Oreochromis niloticus: one gene and its partner. The protein of the gene in region 1 interacts with the protein of each later gene in a pairwise test. Links are inferred from orthologs where the notes say so. Each region holds a gene or a part of one and is shown on either strand. Other genes may lie near its edges. The genes, in order: gcc1 and znf276.

Region 1 (10,557 bases):
GACAAGTCTGAGGTGGAGATTGTGGATCTGATTCTGAAGCTCAGAGAGAAGCTGGTGAGTTCCAACAGGAAGTTTGTTAGCGAGGAAAAAAGTTTCAGGTAAAAGGGTGTTACAGGTAAAAAGCTTAGGATAAAAATTCATTTGAAGAAGTAAAACTTACAACTGCAGGTGAAAAAGATTTTAGTTACCTGAGAGTTAAATCAAAAGTGAGATAGTTTGATAGTTTGAAGCTGGACATGACAATGCGTTCACTGACCATGGACGCTGAGGCGTTCACTAACGCTGGGACGTCTGCCTGTAATAAAAGTTCATGTTTGGGGTAAAATCCATCATATTTGTGATGGAGATGATGCTGTCCTGGGCTGCAGAGGAGATTGGGGAAAAATATTTTCTGGTTTCTTGTTTTAAAGATTAGAGATGAAACTTTGTTGTGAAAATGAAGCTATGATAATAATTCAGGATCATAATCCGGGTTTAATCCAAAGTGAGGTGGTGTTCTGCAACTAGGATCGTTTGCTTCTTCTTTGTTGGTTTCATGTCAAAAGTCTAGTTTTTGAGGACAGGAAGTGTGTGTGGCTTTTCAGATTAAAGCTCGGCGTCAGCAGCTGCAGCTCAGAGACGGTGTGATGGACAAACTCGACTCTTTCATCACCTCCATCATCAGCTCGCTGCCTGCTGACCTGCAGAGTGTGCTTGGCACAGGCGCGTCACCATGACGACAGCTAACCCCAACATCCAGGACTCACGCTTGTGTTCATCAGCATCTTCACACTCCGCAGAAAAACCAACATCGGCTCAAATCTTCAGTTTTTGGAATATTTAACTTTATTTAAACTTTATTACCTGTCCCCATCAAGCTGCTGCTCTGATGTTTTCCTTTCTCTGACGGTGGAATCAGGCTGTTTGCGTTTCACAGAAGTGGTATTTTTCTATCATCTCCACAAACTGAATGTAACACTAAGAATGAAGCTCCACTTTGTTTGTTTGTAAACCTTTATTTTGAAATTAAAGTCTGATCACTTCCTGTCCTTGTTTTATTCTAATCTCCTCGAGGATTCCGACTGAACGGAAAGGCTTTAAGTTCCTCTCATGTCATGGTGAAATGTAATTTCTTGTGGTCTGATGACGTCATCATAAACCTTTGCTCTTCATACTGCTGCTCTTTCATGCTTCAGACTTGCTTCAGTTTCAGACCTCGAGAAGGAAACCTCTGATTCTTTGTTTCTCTTTCCTTATTTATTTTATATAAAAATAATTAAGGCTCCACATCTGAACGTCTGAGTGAAGATCAGTGCAAACACATTTATGAACATTTCTGACTTTGTTCTGTGCACCTGAATGCAGCGTTTGCAGATGTGGACAGATGTTAGAGAAGCTCAGTGGTGAAGTATTTGATCAGTGTGACGTGTGTATGTCTGTCAGAACTGTGAAATAAAACAAAGCTTCAGGCTTCAAAAACACCTGGCTCACCTGTAATCTGACATGGGTGTCTTCACTGTTCCTCACAAAGCCAGCCAATCGGAGGCTAGTAAAAGCAGGAACTGCAGCTTTAGACAGGTGATCTCACCTGAAGAGGCTGGACCAGGCAAAGCAAATCGTATTTAGAGTTGTGTCATCATCAAGGCACTTCACTGACGCTCGGACACAGACTGAAGCAGGAAAAATATTTTAATCTGAATCAAAAATATACATCAGCTGATTGACCAGCGAAGGTCACATGTTAACGTGTTTGTAGTGTTTGAAGTCACATGACGCTCAGAGAGCAGCAAACCGTCAGAGAAACACCAGGAAGATGAAAAACACAGATGCCCTCAAGCGCAGCACGAAGCCACGCCTTCACTGGCTCAGATGCCCAGGTGTTCTTCCTGCACCTTCCTTCTTGCTGCAGAAGTGTTTTCTTCCTCAGGTACTCTACCTGCGTCCCATCCACCAGGTGCTGCCCTGCAGCCTCATGACATCATGCTTCTCCTGCGGGCTGAAGTGCAGGATGGTGAGAATGGCAGTGAGTGTCTGCTGGCGCCCGTTGGCGTCATGCAACGTCAGAAACCGGTACACAACATTCTTCAGGTACTCCATGTTGGCGCCCTCGCGGCTCTGGTCCCGGATCAGTTTTTCGAGGCGGTCACGCAGGGCTGCCACCTCCTCATCATGATGCTCTGCGTTTGCAATGAGTCGTTCCTGCAGCTGGCGCGTGTCCTCCTCCAGTCGGTTCTTCTGCCGCCGCAGCGCGCCCACCTCCACCTCCTTACGTGCGAGCTGCTCAGCGTACAGCAGCAGTGTTGACTCATTGGGTGTGGCCTGCCGCAGCGCCTGGCTGATCGCGTCGGTCTCTGTGTCGGGGCCATTCTCTTGAGGGTTGGTGGGTGTGTTGTCAACACGGTTGGACCAGCTGAGTGTGGCGGCAGCAGCCCGCAGCCTCTCCAGCTCGCGGTCCTTCTCATCCAGCAACGCCATGGTGCGCTCACGCTGCTTGTGAAGCTCTGCCTCCAGTCGCAACAGTTCGTCACGGTGGAGTGCCTCCAGACGCTCCGCCTCCTGCCGGTGTGCCTGCTGCAGCGACACTGCCTGCTGCTGGCGCTCATCAAGCTGCTGGCGGTGGTGGGCCTCGGCCTCGTCACTCTGCACACGCAGGTTTATGTACTTCTCACGCAGCTCGGCGAGCTGGTCGCGGACTTCCTCCAGTTCCCGCGCCTGGCAGCCATCTTTGGTGTTCTTGTTCTTCAGAACCACCTGCGCACGCACCTTGTAGCGCTCAAACTCATCCCTCAGCTGCCGCAGCTCCTGCTGATAAGCGAGGGCTGCCGCCGCCGCATCTGAACCCGGCTCCACCTCCAAGTCCTGGATGTTCTGGTCGGGGTTCCTCTGAGCCGCAAGGAGCAGCAGCTTCTTCACCTTCTGCAGCTTCTCCCGCAGCGCCCCCACGTCCAGTTGCTCATCTGGCCCGAGGTCAGAGGTCGCCCGGCTGGAGGCAGCGATGGCGAGTGTTTTGTTCTCCGTGTCGAGCTGCAGCACGCGATCACGGAGCCTCTGTGCTGCCTGCTGGTCACGCTGCCTTGCCTTCTCACACGAGCCCAGCAGCTCTGACAGCTCCGATACACGCTGCTCCAGGACCGCCACCCGGGCCTCAGCCAACTGAGCACGCTCATGAGCACGCTCTTCTGCATCGCAAACCTGCAACACGAACACAGAGATGACCTCACTTCCTGTTCTAGTTTACCTGGTCTGTTAGAGCTTCAGCTGTTTAATGTGGTTAAACCAGATTCCCTAGGACCTGTTTTATTGGGACTTTGTTTAGTGGGACCTGGTTCTGGGCTCACCTTGCGGGTCTCAAGCTGGACCTGCTCCTGGACCTGGTTCTTCAGCTTGTTCAATTCTTGCTGCAGCTCGTCCACTCTGGGGTCGGGTATTCGTTGCTCCTCCTCGGCGGCCTGCAGCCTCCGCCTCAGCTCGTCTCTCTCTTCCTTGACTTGGTTCAGGAGAGCCTCGGACTCCGCCCCCCGGTCCACGGCCTGTGAAGTCACAAGCAGGGCGGTGCTGGCATCCTGGAGGTGGAGCTCGGCGTCCTGGCGGAGGTCTCGCTCGGCCTGGAGGAGCCTCTGTAGCTCGCGGAGCTGCTGAGCGTGGTCCCCCTGCTCCTGCTCGCGCTCGTGCTGCTGCGTAATGATGCGAGCGCGACTTTCAGCGAGCTGCTGCTGCAGGTTGTGCAGTTCTGCCTCGTGCTGTGTTGTCATGGAGACCAGACGTTCCTGCAGCTCTTCAACTTCCTGTTTCAGCTGCCGCTTGTCTGCCTGGAAGCTCGCCTCCATTCGCGACTTCTCCTGCGTCACCGTGGCCAGCGAGCTTGTGAGCGTGCTCAGTTGGCTCTTCAACTGGGCGACTCTACGGTCTGCCTCCATGCCGGGAGGGGGCGTAGCCTGCTGCTGTTCTGTCCCCACGCTGCCACTCTCAGAGCTGCCATCGGGTTCAGATCCCTGCAGAACAAACATGGAGTCAGAGAATAAGACATGACATTATCAGAGCGTTATGGTGATGATGATGATGTCATCAAGTTCTGACTGTGTTCTGGTGATTTAAGTTCAGTTGTCAAAGTAACGTACCACCAGCCTTCCTCCCAGTTCTGCCTGGTCCTCCTCACTCTGGTCGCCTCTTGTAGTCTCGCTGGCCATGTCCAGAGACGCCGCCATATCCACGCTGTCCTCGCTGTGCAGCGAGCAGCCATCCTCGGTGAGCTCCGGTGTGGCGGTGGCCGAACCCTTCTGGGTCAGGTCCAGGTCCTGGGTCACGCTTAGGACCTTAAGGCTGGCCTCCAGCGCCTCTTTCTCCTTCAGGAGGCTCTTGTAGGCCCGGACCACATCCCTAAAGCGGGTCTGGTACTGGATCAGCTGCTTCTTCTGGGACTCCACCGTGTCCAGCAGCTCCTTCCTGCTCGGACCGCCACCAAAGCTCATCCCGAACTTCTCCATGACCTCGTCCAGGTCTGACCAGGTCTGTCCAGGTGAGCCTCTGATCACAGACACCAGAACATGAACAGAACCTTAGCATTGACTTCCTGTTAGAGGGGAAACAGAGAACAGCTGTTCAGATCACTCATCGATCAATTATCGATGGATGGTTTCTGTGAAGCTGAAACTTTGTGCTGGAACACAAAAGAAGAAGGAGGAGTAAAACAGTTTCTCACCTCTTTCTCTTTCTCAGTGTTTGTTTCTCCCTTTGACTGATTTTTCCGCCGCTTTGATCGTCTCTCCTCACACTGCGCCGACAAACCGGTTCGATGTGGATCACAAACTCGCAACCTGTCCGTCACAGGTGGTCAATAATCGACCCAATCGATGAGTGAAATCCGACTCAAAGCTTCATCTGTCAACAGGCGCCATGTTGGACCGAACCGGAAGTGACTGAGACGGAGGAGGCGGGAGTTTACTACTTTGTTCACGGACGTCAGGAAAATGCACAATAGGATGATTTTTTTTTTTTTTAGCTGATTTAAATTAAAAACTCACTGATTTAAATTAAATAAACAGCCAAACACAGCCAATAAAGCATATGTATATATATATATATATTATTATTAATATGTTTAACATTTCTGAAAGCAATACAGTATTTTGAATTGATTGTTTATTGGGAGAAAAACATTTTTTTCTTATTTTGTACAAATTTTAGAAATAAACTATTAGATTAAAAAATAATTTTATTAGAAATTAATTTTAACTTTGTTGGTTGATGATTGATTGAAAATATTTTCATGATTCCGTTCATTAAATTCTGTTCTTCCGTTCTTCAATAGAAAACGCTTTATTATTCTACACACATATATGTTTTTAGCACTGTCACAGAAGCAGTACGTGTGTATTTCACTTTGTTATGTTCTGTTGTATAATGACGTGAACATAGTGACATATATACATATAAATTAAACGTATTAATATAAATGGCTGTCCCGGAGCCGAGAGTGTTCCTCGCAGCCCATGAACTTCACTTCATGCGCAGAGCTCGAATGTACGGTGTTTGAGCGGACAGTGAACGCCGCGGTGTTTGCTATGCTGTTAATAAAGTTGTTGTTTTTTTTAAAGCGCAGCAGTGACGTCATTTGTTCCGCGTTGGCCTGGACGTGGCACCGAGAGGAGCTGCGCCCTCAGTTCGCTCTGCTCCGCTCCGCTCCGCTCCGCGCCTTCTCGGCTCCATTCCGCTGCTGCTCCCGGACCTCCGGCTCTACCCGCCGTCAGTGTGTGACCTGCCACCGCCTCCTCTCCGCAGCCATGGGCCTCACAATCTCGTCGCTGTTCTCCAGACTGTTCGGGAAGAAACAGATGAGGATCCTGATGGGTAAGCGGGGGCTAGGCTAACGAGCTAACGGGCTAACCGGCCGGGCTCCGGGGCGGCTGCAAGCGGCTCCGCGGGCTCACCAGCACCACACACCGTCTCATTTTACCAGGAACCCGCTCACCGAGTCCTGCGGACCGCGGGCCCGATCTTCCCGTGCAGGGAGAGGCAAAAGTCCGGCTCGGAGAAGCAAGAGGCTGTTAGCTCGGAGCTAACGGAAGGAAGCAGGCTGATAACAGTCCGTTAAACCGAGTTAAATTGGGGTCTAAACGGGGGTTAAACTGGGTTAAGATGTTTTAATCTGGGGTTAAACCTAAAACTGTACCGGTGTCATCTTATTAAGTCCATAAAAACCATTAAACCCGGTTTGATCTGAGCTTTAAACCAGCAGCTGGACTCTGATCTAGGTTTAAGTAATCTCAGATTAGTCTTTATTCACTGTATGAGGTTTAAGTAATCTCGGGTTAAACTTGAACCACTGTGAGACATTTAATTAATCTGGGATTAATCTTTGATGTGTGTTTCAGTCGGTTTGGACGCTGCTGGAAAAACTACGATCCTGTACAAACTGAAGCTCGGAGAGATCGTCACCACCATCCCCACCATCGGTACGTCATCAGGACTCAGGGACCAAATGAGGTCATGTGATCAATAATCAGCCGACTGTGTAGTCAGGTGGTTTGAACGTGGTATTGATCAGATCTGATCGGTTTGAGTGAGGATTCCCCAGGCGTGCTGGCACTTGCACTATTTTCTTTAAACTTCTCCTGCGTCTGCGTCTACAGGTCAAGTGACCTTTTAGAATAAGAGTCACCTGTTAGTTTGAATAAATAAGGTACCAAAACAAGAAACATAAATGATGAAAGTGCAGACACACACTTACAATGGTGAAAACAAACGTTTAAAGCAGGTAAATACAAGCTAAACTTATACACACCACCAGCGTTTACACAGCTATAGATATGGAACCATTAAAACTACAATCATGGAGAAATGAAACATCAACGTTTATAGTCAAGTCATCCTCAGTCTTATAGTTTCAGTTTACACAGGTGTCTCCTCTGTGCAGGTATTTCAGTGCTACTGCTTCACTCTAACTTTATATACTGTTACAGTCACTGTTGTACTGTGATATTTATTGTTGGTTCCCAGCGGGCTGATGGGATGTGTAGTTTCCTGTCAGTGATTCTGTTTCCTGTGACTTGGAATGTTTGAAGGTCATTAAAAGCTGTTTTTTTTTTTTTTTTTTAAATTTGACAAAGAGTCACCTGTTCACAACTCTGTGTGTGTGGTTGTGTGTTCAGGCTTTAACGTGGAGACAGTCGAGTACAAGAACATCTGCTTCACAGTTTGGGATGTTGGCGGTCAGGACAAGATCCGACCTCTGTGGAGACACTACTTCCAGAACACACAGGTACAGAAGCAGAACTCTCAGGTGCAGGCAGGTGTGGGACTTTTCTCTCTCTGAGGAACGAGATGTTCAGGTTGATCTGGTTCAGTTATGTTTACCTGGGCATTCATGAGAAGTTTTCTTCTGTGACCCCTCACTGATCTGATCTGTCCTGAGATATTCATCTATAGTAAAATCCTCATTTATATCCTCTATCTGATCATATCTTTATATCCATAAAGCTCTTCTTTAGCAATAAGTAACATAGAATAGAGTAGAATAGAATAGCATAATTTATCAGAACAGTTAGTGCATATTTGAATGAAGTTTCAGTGGATTTGCTGTCCATTGAAATAATTCTATATAAAACAATCTAAAAGTATAAAATACATAGAAGAATGTCAAACGTGTGTACAAATAGAAGTGACATTTATGTGTATATGCATGCTAGTAAAAGAAATGTTTTATTGAACAGTAATAAAGCAGCAAAACAACCCAGTGTACAACATCATCCTCATTCCAGATGTTCCGGCTTAAATATATAATCAGTAAAAAGTCTGGGAACTGCTTCAGAAACGTTTTGAAGCATAAATATTTTTTTTTAATCGAACTTTCAGTAAGAAAAGCAACTGAACTTAAATAAACAATTTCTTCAGTGCTGTGAGAACGTCAGGTTTGTGTTTCCACAGCTTTACAGAGGTGCTGCAGGAAAATCAACAAAGTCAAACATGAGTCCTAACACGGCTGCATTCCCCCTCAGAAACACCTGAGGAGCTTATTTTAGATCCCTGACTCTGCAGCACAACACACACAGCACAGACTTTCACTGTGGGCAGGATCCATTAATCACTGTATTGATGTATTAATTGTATCGATGACTGATGTATTGATCACAGGGTCTGATCTTCGTGGTGGACAGTAATGACAGGGAGCGAGTCGCCGAGTCGGCGGAGGAGCTCTCTAAGATGGTCGGTCCCTTTGATCACTTTACAGTTACGCATCATTAGACTCATGATCGTCATGGTAACCACTGACTGTATGTCACATGACTCTGTGCAGGTCCAGGAGGACGAGCTGAAGGACGCGGTACTTCTAGTGTTCGCCAACAAACAGGATCTCCCGAACGCCATGGGTGTCAGCGAGCTCACCGACAAGCTGGGTCTGCACAGCCTGCGCAGCAGAACCGTAAGGATCAATAACCCATCCGCACTGATCAGTACTACAGACTGAGTTCTGTTTCTCATGTTTCCCTCCATGGTTTATTGACTGATGATCTAAGTTCTCAGCTGTTTTTCTTGCTCAGTTCTGTAATTGTGAAATCAATAATCAGTCAATCAGTATACAAAACAGGAGACAGTGGGGTGACCTCAAATGAGCCCACAGCATTGGTCTGGGGGTGGAGCTCTGAGCACATCAGCCAACCCAATATCGCGACAAAGCTTCATGTTGAAGCTGCAGTAATCTGCACTACCAGCAGGAGGAAATGATATATTTAAAGCCAAGATGTGGGTAGTGAGCAAAATAATTCCATTAATCATCAGAATCGATTAAGTTGGGTGGCTGATATGGATGTACATGTAAAAGTGTTAATAATGTCTTTGTAATCGCGAGTATTTTCATGTTGGCTTGAAATAAAATATCTCCCTCTGCTGGTAATCTGTGATGTCAGTGCCAGTGGGTGGAACCCTTGGGTTTTAATTTTATAGTTGCATCCTAATTGGTTGTTAGAAAATCCACTCAGGGGTCTTGATGTCACTGTCCACAAACTTATGGAGCTAAATCTGTTTAGACAGTTAAACTCACTTGTGTGTGCTCCCTGTACCTGCCCACTCACCTGTGATGATCTGTGTGTGTTTCAGTGGCACGTGCAGGCCACCTGTGCGACGCAGGGCACAGGTCTGTACGAGGGACTGGACTGGCTGTCCAATGAGCTCTCGAAGCGTTAAACCACCTGACAGGAAGTAGAAAGCAGACTGATTTCAGCCGCTGATGTCACCGTGTACAGATGAGGAAGAGGAGGAGGAGGAGCGTGTCATCGCTCCATGTTTCTTTCTTTTTTTTCTCTTTTTTTTTTTTTTTTTTTTTTTTTAAATTATACCTGTGTGTCTGTAGGAGGAAGTGATGTCATGGACTCTGAGCTCACCTTCATTTCCCATCATCCTCTTCTTCTGTTTTTCAGGTGTTTGTTAGATCTTCTTTCTTTTAAGCCGCATGTTTTAACTCAGATTCATGTGACAGGAGGAGGGGCGGGGCTTACGGCAGGTGACGGTCACCTGGGCGTTGGGGGCGGGAATTATGGCAGGTGATGGTCACCTGGTCGTGCGAAGACTCATTCCATAGAGCCAAGTATGGCAGCCTCGTCATTCCTTATCAAAGTGAAGAAGAAACTGAGACCATGATGCAATAAAGGTTTTTTTTTTCTTCTCACCTGTGTGTTCTGCTTTCTGTTTGAGAAACTTTATTCAGCGTTAACTGTGCGATGAGATGTTTGCATAGGCCTGAAGATCTCCTGCTGACCTCTGACCCACCAATCAGATATTGGATTTAACTTTATGGGCTACTGGACAGATTTACTAAGTGGCGCAAATGATTTGGACTTTGCGTTTCCAGGATGTTCTGTTTATATTTATTTATCATTTAAATATGAAGATGCAGCCGCTTCACTTAAGTAAAAAAAAAAAAAAAATCAGCTGCGAGTGGAACGGCTCAAAGACCGAGAGGAGGGAGTGCCGCAGGCCTGCAAACCAAAATAATCCAGTGTGAGCTCTTGAGCATTAAGTGTGCTGCTAGAGACGTGAAGGAATCTGACCGTTCATGAAGGACGTTTGTCACAGCCTGTTGTCATTTATGTGACCGCCATAAAACAACAGAACACAGCAAAGTAAGCTAGGTGTTTTGTAGTCCATCGGACATCTGGCGTCACACCATTAACCTCCTAGGACCTGGCGTCCACATATGTGGACATCACATTTTGGGTTGTCTAGACCAAAATACTAAATTTTGCTCTACGAGGGCCTGATATCCACTTACGAGGACATTATACTCAGGGATGCACATAAGTGGTCCGCAGGTGCGCATTCGCTGTCAAAAGACGCACACCAGATAAGTTGCAACGCGCGTTTGTGTAAATATAAAAGGCACTGTTTTTGTCCTCTAGAGTGGGATTTTCGCGGCATATTCTGCACCACATCTCTGTGCGTTCATCATTTGTTTGAAGCCAGCTCACCTCCTGCAACCACTTTTCCGAGAATACGCGCTTCTTTTGCGGTTCGGACTCCATCTGACATTTCTTTGGAGGTGGAGGAACACCAAAGTAATTGCTTAAAGGAGTTTGCTTCTTCGAC
Region 2 (10,328 bases), on another chromosome or scaffold:
AGAAACATGTGAGTAGTCTAAATTACCACAGGCCAGTTTCACTCACTTTGGTGGTAGTGAAAGGATGACTCTAGTCCACATGAAATGCAGGGGGCATGTCAGGTTTGCAAAACACACACTGTCACCCTGAACCTTGGCATTCCCCATGGATGTGTGCTGCTCCCTCTCCTGCATGCTCTCTTCAACCACGACACTGTCCACGTGAAAAACTCCATCATCAAGTTTGCAGATGACACAGCAGTCATGGGACTGGGTTCCTATAGACTCAGCCTATAGATGATGAGATGAGATAGCCTTTATTTGTCAGTTGCAAGTCTTTTGCCCACAACCGAGATGACAGACCTTGCCGACCGCACATACAATACAAACATCACATTGGGGAGACAGGTCAGGCCAGGTAGCGAGGAAAAAAACATCGAAATATGTAACACAAAAGGATAATACAGGAATGCACAGATATCAACACACCATAACACAATAAACACAGACAAGCAACATGGGAAAGTGTTCCAGTGTGTACATCTGATCTGGGACCACTGCAATCTTCGACTGCGCCTCCAACTGACCCGATGTCCACATCAGAGGGGAGGTAAGCGTTGGAGGTGGCGTTTGGTAGGGAGGGTGATGCGTCAGTGAGTGCTTATCAGTATCAGTATATGTATGTGTCTGTAGGAACGCAACAACTCACAAAAAAGCATATGTATATCTGTTTACATACATTTTACACTGTTTATAGATCTGTACATAGTCTGTCATACATTTTTGCTGATTTCCACAACTGAATATTTTCATTTCATTTCAGCCTCATGTGTAGTCTTCAGTAGTGTTCCTCACTTTTGGATAATTCACATTCTAGTCAGTTTGACTGTTCGCTAAAGGAATAGTTTTGACTGTATGTGTTGTTTATTCTTTATATTACTGTAAAAGCCTGTCTTCAAAGATAAAGATAAGATAAAGAGGTGCTTTAGACTGTATAATGACTATTGCATTATAAATGCACAAACAAAACCACAAAAACATGTTTGACATGAGTCATTCCCCCATTTTAATGAAAATGTGTGTGTGGTGAAGTGAAGTAATGGAAGTAGCTTCGTGTACACAAGATCTTATCTGTGTTCAGTGGTGTAAAGGAGAAACCTATTTAAATCACTTCCGTGCATGCATCTGCAACCCTTTCTTCATGATCATTCTGTCACCTTGATTTAGTTTTTTATTTAGTTTTATTTGTGTGTGTGTGTGTGTGTGTGTGTGTGTGTGTGTGTGTGTGTGTGTGTGTGTGTGTGTGTGTGTGTGTGTGTGTGCCTGGTGCAAAACAGCCTAACACATTATGCAATCTAAACACATGTAAAAAGATAAAAACATATGAAAAAACATATTCTATGTTAAAAAAAACCCCCAAAAACACCCATTGTATTTCAGTGAGGTACAAGATCACTTTTAGGTGACTTCATTCTTATTTCCTCAAGTCTATTACAGTTTTTCACACTTGCTAAGGCCTATTTATTTTCTCAAAAGCTACCCACTTCTTATAATGTGACCAAATAAGATGGCCAGTTAGCAACCAAGCAACTAAACAAGGCAAAACTTCAACTAAATATTAATTCTTCTACACTTTGAACACAAACTACATTCACCTCTGAGTCTCATGGCTACACCGCACAATCACATCAAAACAATTTTATCAGTGCTCAGAACCGCATGTTATCAGATTGCACTCATAAAGCATCAGGATAATACCAGAGCTCAGCATTGGTTAAAAAATCAGAGTCGGGACACGTAACTCAAGCCTTTCCAGCTTCACGTGCCGTGTCGTCATCTCCAAAAATGTGCTGGAAAATCAGAAAGGAATGTATAGAAACATCAATATACACTAAAGATTCTAGACTGCGGTGGCAACAGAGGACCTTCAGAGATATATTTACATATACACAAGGTCTATGTCTCATACTACAGTTTGCTTATGAAAGAGGGCAGCTTCACATGTTTTCTCATCCTGTGTGTTCAGCGGGGTTTTTGTGTGTGTGTGTGTGTGTGTGTGTGTGTGTGTGTGTGTGAAACTAATTCCCGGAATCAATCGCTCTTTTGGCAAAACCTTAAATTGTTGTCTTCTAGTTAGACCCAATTTTTACATCTTATTTAAATTCTTTTCAAAAAGCTCTAAACAAATTCTCACTCAATGGTAACAACAGGAAACACAACACGACTACAGCTCTGTTGTCATTTCGTGAACGTGACAACTCAAACTTTTTCACACTGATTGCTAATAAAGCGACCGGTGAGTTCCAGTGAGCTGAAGGTTTGATACCAAGAATGGGAGGAAACAATCAGAGAGGAGGAAGATGAGGAGGAGTGAGCTCTACCACAATAAATCACTTCTAATAAATATGATGAAATTTGATTCTCTGTGATAAAACTGTTTTTGCATATGCAGCAACCCAAATGAAAGAAAGCAGAAGATATTAATTTTACTTATAAAAGTAATCTACGTAATTCATCGTTTACTATAACGTTTCCTTGACTTATGCGTCTCAAAACCAAGGAGGATGAGAGAATGTTTAAGTCTGGAGCTTTATACAGCACGTATCACCTGTAAATGAGGGAAGTATAATGCTACCATAATCTTGAATCTTTACACTATACTCGTGTTTTGCTACATCACTTGCTGCGGTGTGAAACGGATGCTCAGCAGAGTTATTATCTTGACTGGTTGTGTATGTGAGCTGAAGACACTGTGTGGTTTTTATTGCTGATAAAACTGTTCCGATGCAATCATGAGGTTTTGTCTGATGAGTCAGAGGTTTTGAGAATATAATTTGAAAAGAGAAAGTCATAGATAAGTATTAACAAATAATTAAATGCAGAGTGGTGTATAAACACTCAGTGCATCATGGGAATCCCCCAGCAGCCTACACCTATTGCAGCACAACTAAGGAAGGATTCAGGGTCACCTGATCCAGCCCTAACTATATGTTTTGGCAAAAAGGAAACTTTTAAGCTTAATCTTAAAAGTAGAGGTAGTGTCTGTCTCCTGAATCCAAATTGGGAGCTGCTTCCACAGAAGAGGGGGGCTGAAAGCTGAAGAAAAAGCTAAAAGTGTTAAAAACCCACGGGACCACAACTAACCCCGCAGTCTGAGACCAAAAGTGTTCTGCTGGAGTGATAAGGTCCTCTGAGGTCTGTGAGATAAGATGAGCTGATAATTCAAGCTTATATGTGAGAAAGACTTTAAATTTGATTCTGGATTTAACAGTGAGCCAATGACGAGAAATAACCAGAGTTGGCAAAAGTGCAGACATTCTGTACTTAAGTAGAAGTACAAATGCTGCTGTTAAAAATGCTTCAGTAAAAGTTGAAGTACTGATTCAACTTCTTTACTCAAGTAAAAGCAAAAAAGTACAGGCTCTGAAATGTACCATAAGTAAGAAAGTAAAAAGTTGCTCTTTGGAGGATTGAACTGAACTTTGTGCTATATTAATATAATGATAAAATAATATCAGTAGATGGGAATACAAACTTTAAGCTATTTTTAATTCTACTTATACTCAGCTTAAGTCAGAAGGAAAAGAAGGAAAATTAAAAAAATAAATAAACAAATCTTTATTTTCTGTTGCCTACAGAGCCAATATCTGATTTAAAAACATAAGGACTTTAAATTACCAGTTTGTCAGACCCCACTGAGCAGTCCTTACCTTTAAATCTAAGCTCTCTTCTTTCTCTCCCGTCCTATTTTTCTTATCTTTCTCCATCTCTGAGTGACTTTAGCTCTTTTTTCTCTCTCTGTGAAATACAGCAGCTGGACCTTTAGCTAGCCACACACTGTGAGACAAACTGCACACAACCAGTTTGTGTGTTTGCTGACGCTGACAGAAACGTTCATTTGAAATGACCTGTCACTTAAAAAACGTCACTCTCTTTATTTTTACTCACTCCTTTTCAGTAGGAGTAGGTGTTGTGGCAAAAAACAACAACAACAACAACAAAAAACGCCTTCCCACTTTTAACCCCTGAGTTTGGTACACACGTCAACTCTTTTTATGCCACATCCTCTGGTGATTAATAAATGAACAGGACCACCTTTTATGTGTTTCTGTTCAGGGTCAAATCGGTTTAAAGTTTGGAGGCTAACAGTGAAGAAATAATATCTCCCCCCAAATGCGTTAAATCAAACGTAACGTGCCTGTTTTGAAAATGTAAGCAGTAGAAAGTACAGATATTTGTTTAAAAATGCAGGGAGTAAAAGTAAAAAGTAGTCAGAAAAAAACTACTCAAGTAAAGAACCGATATCTGAAAATTGTACTTAAGTACAAAGTATTTGTGTTTTGTTAATTCCCACCTCTGGAAATAACACAATTATATAAAATAGACTATCAGGATGAGACCTTCTTGCCATTTTAAAATATGTGATTGCAGACGGCCTGGGCATTGCCAGCTCTAAAGCTGAGTTAATGTCTATCACAGAGTCACTGCCGTCCTGTTGGGCCCCGACACTGTCTTTATTATATAAAGACAGTGTATATTTCAGGATGAAGACCACTCTATTTCACATTTTTTTGATGTCATCGTCTTACTTAGAGAGACCTTAAACAGGAAGTGAGTGGTGTTCATGCTTGAACCCCCCCCCCCCCATTAAAAATAATTATGCAAAGAGGAGTCGGCCAAAATTCCTCCACAGTGGAGGCTTCCGCGAGTGTGACTCTTATTTTGAGCGATGAAAAAACAATAGAATATAATTTTATTTTTATATTTCAATATCACAATAATCTTCCAATTTAGAACTACGAGTTAAAAAGAACTAACATAAATAAAATACACTTCAGCTAAATACTTCTAATTTATTTGCCCAAACCACGCGGAACCGCAGTATAAGGACTAAAGAGCCGCATGCGGCTCCGGAGCCGCGGGTTGCCGACCCCTGGCCTAGTCCTAGGAACAGCAAAGATACTGCACAGGACCCTTAAGGTCCCAGGTGTTTGGTAGAAGACCTGAGTTTGAAGGCTAAAGATCGCCTTGAGGGACAGGTCTGGGCTTCTTTGCTTCGTCTTCCTGCAACCTGATTTGAGAATAGTGGCACAAAATAATGGCTTATGAGTGGATATTATTATTGTTATTATTATTATTATTATTATTATTTTATTATCACATTCTCATTTTTAAAGAAAGCCTGAGCAAATAAAAGTATTTTTAAAAAGTCACTATTTCATGAATTTTATTAATTATATTTTACCCCAATACTTTTACTCTTCGGACTCTCCGGACTCTTCTCTGTGGACGGCAGGTGGCGCTCTTGGGTATCACCCCTCTGTGTTTTGTTCCGGTAGCGCTTCCGGGTTCTAATGTTTACATCTGGGAGCAGCTACAAAGCACACAGTTTGTTTTCCAGGCTAATGAAAACCTCTTTGTACGTTAAGAACAGCATGTTTTCCAAGTGCTAGGATCTGTGCACAGTCACGGTAGGCCCTCCATGACGAGTGCTGTAATTATGACGTCACGTGTGTTGTGTTTTAACACGTCAGCTAACAAATGTAGCAGGCTCACTCATGCTAACCAGCTAACGCTAGTTGAATTAATCTGTAAACAAAATCATGCTGAAGTGTAAAAACAATATCCGGGACCGTTGTCAGGGTTTTTGTTTTATCGGAGGCTTAAATCAAAGGTGCTGCGGCTTGATTGGCATTAGTATCCTGTTAACTTTATCCATGGATGGAGTTCCTGTGTCATCAATGTTAAAGATTTCTGAGAAAAAACTATTAAATGTATCTCAGAAGATTTACAAATGGACTGATTATTTTCTTTAAAGTACAACGAAGGTTTCAGATAATATTAAATGAGGTTAAAAAATTGTATTTATTATACAGCTGTTTTGTTAAGAAGGAGAAAAACCTCGTTCTGCCCCATGGACTCACCGACCACTTCATTAGGTATAGCTGGTCGTTGACAGATATCTAATCAGCCAATCACGTGGCAGCAACATAGTACATTTAGGCATGTAGGCATGAGGACCTGCTAACGCAGAAGTTCAAACTGAGCATCAGTGGCATGGCTGTTGGCGGCAGATCGGCTGGTCTGAGTATTTCAGAAACTGATGGATTTTTCCACAGAACCATTGCTAACGTTTACAGAGAATGGTTCAAAAAAGTGAAAATATTAAGTGAACAGCAGTTCTCCAGGTGAAAACACCTTATTGATGTCAGATGTCAGAAGAGAGTGGCCAGAGTGCTTCAGGCTGATAGGACGACAGTGACAACTCAAACACCCACTCGGTATAGCCAAGGTATGCAGAAAAGCATCTCTGAAAGTTGAAGCAGATGGGCTATAGCAGCAGAAGACTGCACTGATTGTCACTCCTGTCAGCAAAGAACAGGAAAATGAGGCTACAATTTGCACAGGCTCACTAGAACTGGACAATAGAGGAGTGAAAAAACATTTCCTGGTCTGAATTTGACATAAAAAACATCAAAATCATGGCTCTGTCCTACTTTGTATCAAAAGTTCAGGCTGCTGGTGATGGTGTAAAGGTGTAGGAGTATTTTCTTGGCACACTTTGTGCCCCTTAATAGCAGCTGAATATCACTGAAATACCACAGCCTACCTGAGTATTTCTGCTGACCATGTCCATTTCTTTATGACCACAGCGTATGCATCTTCTGATGCCTACTTTCAATGGGATAATGCACCATGTCACAAAGCTCAAATGATCTCAAACTAGTTTCTTGAACTGGACTGAAATTACATCCACAGTCACAGAGTACTTTTGGGATGTGTGTGGTAGATTCACATGATGGGTATGTAGCCAACAGTCTGCAGCAACTGTGTGATGGTTTCATGTCAGTATGAACCAAAATCTCTGAGTAAAGTTTCCAGCACCTTGTTGAATCTAAAGCAAGAAGAATTAAGGCAACTCTGAAGGACAAAGAGGTCCAACTTACTACTAACATGTTGTACTCAATAATAATAATAATAATAATAATAAAGTGCTTGGTGAGTGTATGTACACGTTGATCCACGCTTCCTGCCAGCTTGTTTAAATGATGACAGTAATTTCATAAGTTTTTACATTTTACAACTGGTTCTGGTTCTAAATGAAACTTTGGAGCAACATAATAAGCAGGACTGATCTATTTGTAGTTAAAGTAAATAGTCTGTGGTACCTTACTTCACAGAAGCATACGAATTTTCCTGTTGTTGGCCATAAACAAAATATTATTTAAGCTTTAGTAAATAAAATCTCATTAAAAATAGGAAATGGGTAATATATTTCTATCACAATCCTGGTGATTTTGCGTTTTGTAGAAAGCCAAAACCTCTTTGGTGAGCACAAAAAAACCCTGGTATGTGTCTGTCGTTGTCTTTAGATGGAACAAAAACTCAGAAATGCTAAATATTTTGTTGTTTATTACACTGACACAGGCAGCCTTCACGAGATCAGCTGCTGACAAAAATAACAATAAACGATGAAGAAGAAAAGCAGACATACGAGGTCTTCTGAGACTCCGCAAAAGCTCAGCAGGACGCCAATGCCAGTGGATGTCACCCGTGAGAAGAGGTCACCTGGAAACAAAGGGCGACCTCGGAAGACTGCCGCTGTAACCACAGACAGTTTCTACCTGAATGACAGCGCAACAGAAAAAAACGCCGACGCAGACTTCAATGTGATGACAGCTGAAGACACCCAGAAACATCCAGAGACTAAGTCCAGATCTTCAGGTTAGTGGCTCACTACGCCCGTTTTAAACACAGGAAGTTGATGTTAGTGTAAGTTATTGTTGGATATTTGTCATGTGATTCTCAAACTACTTAACTTTGCAAAGCCAGTGCAGAAAAAACAATGTTACGGGCCTTTAATCAGTAGATACTGTGTGTTTGGCACAAACCAAGGAAAATCAAGTATATGGTATATTTCTCTGTTAATGTGGACAATAGTAAATTGTGTTATGGGAGCGCTGTAAGATGAAATCAAGTTATGATGCCCCCACAGGTAGACTCTCTGCTGCTGTCTGCCGGCTTTGTCACGGGAAGTTTTCCCCGCGCAGCTTGCGGCACGCCTTCAACAAATGGCCTCGGGATTCCCTCAGTATCGTAGACGAGGAGTCAGACGCCGTGGCCCAGTCACCCCTTTTGTTCCACACAGACTTCCAAAGGCTGGTCGGGGTCCAGGTGGACCGTGACCCTCGGCTTTCGGAATTTATTTGCAAGAAATGCCATGCAAAGTTTTACAAGTGCCAAAGCATCCTGATCCGGTTTCTGCAGAGAGTCAACCTCCCCCCTGTGGGGAAGGAGAACCTGAAAAATCAGTGAGTCAATAAAGAAAACAAATATGTCTACCTGAGGGTGACTATAAATTGTTTTTACTGCAGAAAAACATGTGGAAGTGTTTGTGTTTGTTTCAGGAAGAATGCAAAGGGTCCAGAGTCCTCTGTAAACCATTGCTCATCAAGTAAGTAAAACATTACTTCCTCACTCCATCTTGCTGAAGTTACATAAGTTGAACTGTTCTGACAGGCTCTTCTATTTTCTTCAGCTCCTTCATCCTTTACCTCAGACACAAAGTGCCTCCACAGTCTGGTGTCCTGGGCTCATCACCACGGAGAGGCCTGCCGCTCCTGCCCCGACCTGAAGGAGGTGCTGGAGGGCCAGTGTCTGGGCTCCGTAAAGGCTGTTTGGGGCTGCGTCGATGGTCACAGATACATTATGGACACTCAGCGCAGCACCACCTCCAACCAGTGCTCGAGCAATAGAGCATTAGGGAGTGGGAGGGGTGATGGAGTGATGTCAGAGGAGGAGGAACAAGAGCAAGACGGCGAGGAAGATGAAGAGGAGCAATCCGGCGGGAACGGAATAACCTCATCGAGAAGTACTAGTACTGTGGTTCAGCGCAGTCCACCTGCAGCAACGGCTCAGACGCAGAGCTCAGCGCCTGATGACTGGACAGGCGACAACGAAGGTGGGAATGCTTACAGTTGTTCAGACTGACACAGAGACTACGGGTGTATCAGCCCTCTTATACAGCTTCAGTTGTTTCAAGATGTTTTATGTTGTACAATAAAAGACTCGCACAAGATCAGAGATAAACCCCAACAATCAGAAAATCACTGTGCTCAGTGACAGGCAGCCACCTGCTGCAGTCACACTACAGGAGACTACATGCCAGGAACACACTCGCCCAGGAGGCATCCTTATTCGATGCCCAAACCACCTCAACTGGCTCCTTTCGATGTGGAGGAGCAGCAGCTTTCCTCTGAGCACCTCCCGGATGGCTGAACTTCTCACCCTATCTCTAAGGGAGAGGCCAACCACCCTTCAGAGAAAGCTCATTTCTGCTGCTTGTATCCGTGATCTCATTCTTTCGGTCACTACCCACAGCTCGTGACCATAGGTGAGGGTGGGATGCAGATCGACCGGTAAATTGAGAGCTTCACTTTTACACTCAGCTCTCTCTTCACCATAAGGCTGAGGAGTGGGATCCCCCCTATAGTTGGAATACAACCTCCCGTCCCCCTTCTTAAAACTGGGAACCACCAGCCCGGTCAGGAGTTTTGTAACTCCCTCAGCACCTCGCCCCCGGAGATAGGTGTCTCCTTCTTCAGCCTGGTGGCTCCCTTCACCTCTGGTGTCCACCATTTGGTTCGGAAGTTACCACCATGACAGGCACCAACCATCTTTCGGCCGCAGCTGAGTGCAGCAGCTTCAGCAATGGAGGTGCTGACATTGGTCCATTTGGACTCAGTGTTCCCAGTCTCCCTTGGAATGCTGTTAAAGCTCTGCCAGAGGTGTGCGTTGAAGATCTCGCAGACCGGGGCCTCTGCCAGGCGTTCCGAGTGCACCCTCACTATACGTTTAAGTGCACCAGGTCTTTCCAGCATCCTCCCTCGCCACCTGGTCCAACTCACCACCAGGTAGTGATCAGTTGAAAGCTCAGCCCCTCTCTTTACCTGAGAGTCCAGAACATATGGCCGCAGGTCTGGTCATACGATTATTATAAAATCGATCATCGACCTGCGGATGGTTTTCACCCGGAGTTTCACCATCTGCACTTAAATCCAATCCAATCCAACTTTATTTATAGAGCACTTTAAAAACAACATAGTTGACCAAAACAACATCGTTAACTTAAATGTACATATTTTTTATTTTCATCAAATAAAAATATATGAGTGATTCACATCAGTGTGTGTAAATATCAGTTCATTTTGAAGAAATGAAAATGAGTGTTTCCAGGAAGATAAAATGTTAAAGATGTGTATTCATGTTTGGAGACTCGAAGGGTGTCAAAGACTGATGTGTACAGACAGTCCAGCTGAAATATAGAAAATACTTTTTTTTTTCTGCAC

Evidence for each region.
Region 2: the proteins of gcc1 (region 1) and znf276 interact in binary tests that used the Homo sapiens proteins (3 or more experiments, as listed by UniProt). The two-hybrid records come from large-scale screens. The link is inferred for Oreochromis niloticus from reciprocal best matches to the Homo sapiens genes GCC1 and ZNF276.

What each region holds. Positions count from the first base shown.
Region 1 is NC_031981.2:23,183,117-23,193,673, forward strand, and holds gcc1 (GRIP and coiled-coil domain-containing protein 1), read right to left. Parts: upstream 4,910-10,557; 5' UTR 4,679-4,909; intron 4,550-4,678; 5' UTR 4,464-4,549; coding exon 4,098-4,463; intron 3,972-4,097; coding exon 3,318-3,971; intron 3,172-3,317; coding exon 1,912-3,171; 3' UTR 1,651-1,911; downstream 1-1,650. Other genes in the region: protein DENND6B, read left to right, coding at 1-54, 585-716; ADP-ribosylation factor 4, read left to right, coding at 5,760-5,826, 6,351-6,431, 7,128-7,237, 8,110-8,181, 8,273-8,398, 9,073-9,159. UniProt on the Homo sapiens protein: Probably involved in maintaining Golgi structure.
Region 2 is NC_031972.2:5,276,405-5,286,732, reverse strand, and holds the start of znf276 (zinc finger protein 276), read left to right. Parts: upstream 1-5,307; 5' UTR 5,308-5,450; intron 5,451-6,166; exon of another isoform or gene 6,167-6,271; intron 6,272-7,407; 5' UTR 7,408-7,451; coding exon 7,452-7,704; intron 7,705-7,975; coding exon 7,976-8,291; intron 8,292-8,387; coding exon 8,388-8,434; intron 8,435-8,518; coding exon 8,519-8,941; intron 8,942-10,328. UniProt on the Homo sapiens protein: May be involved in transcriptional regulation.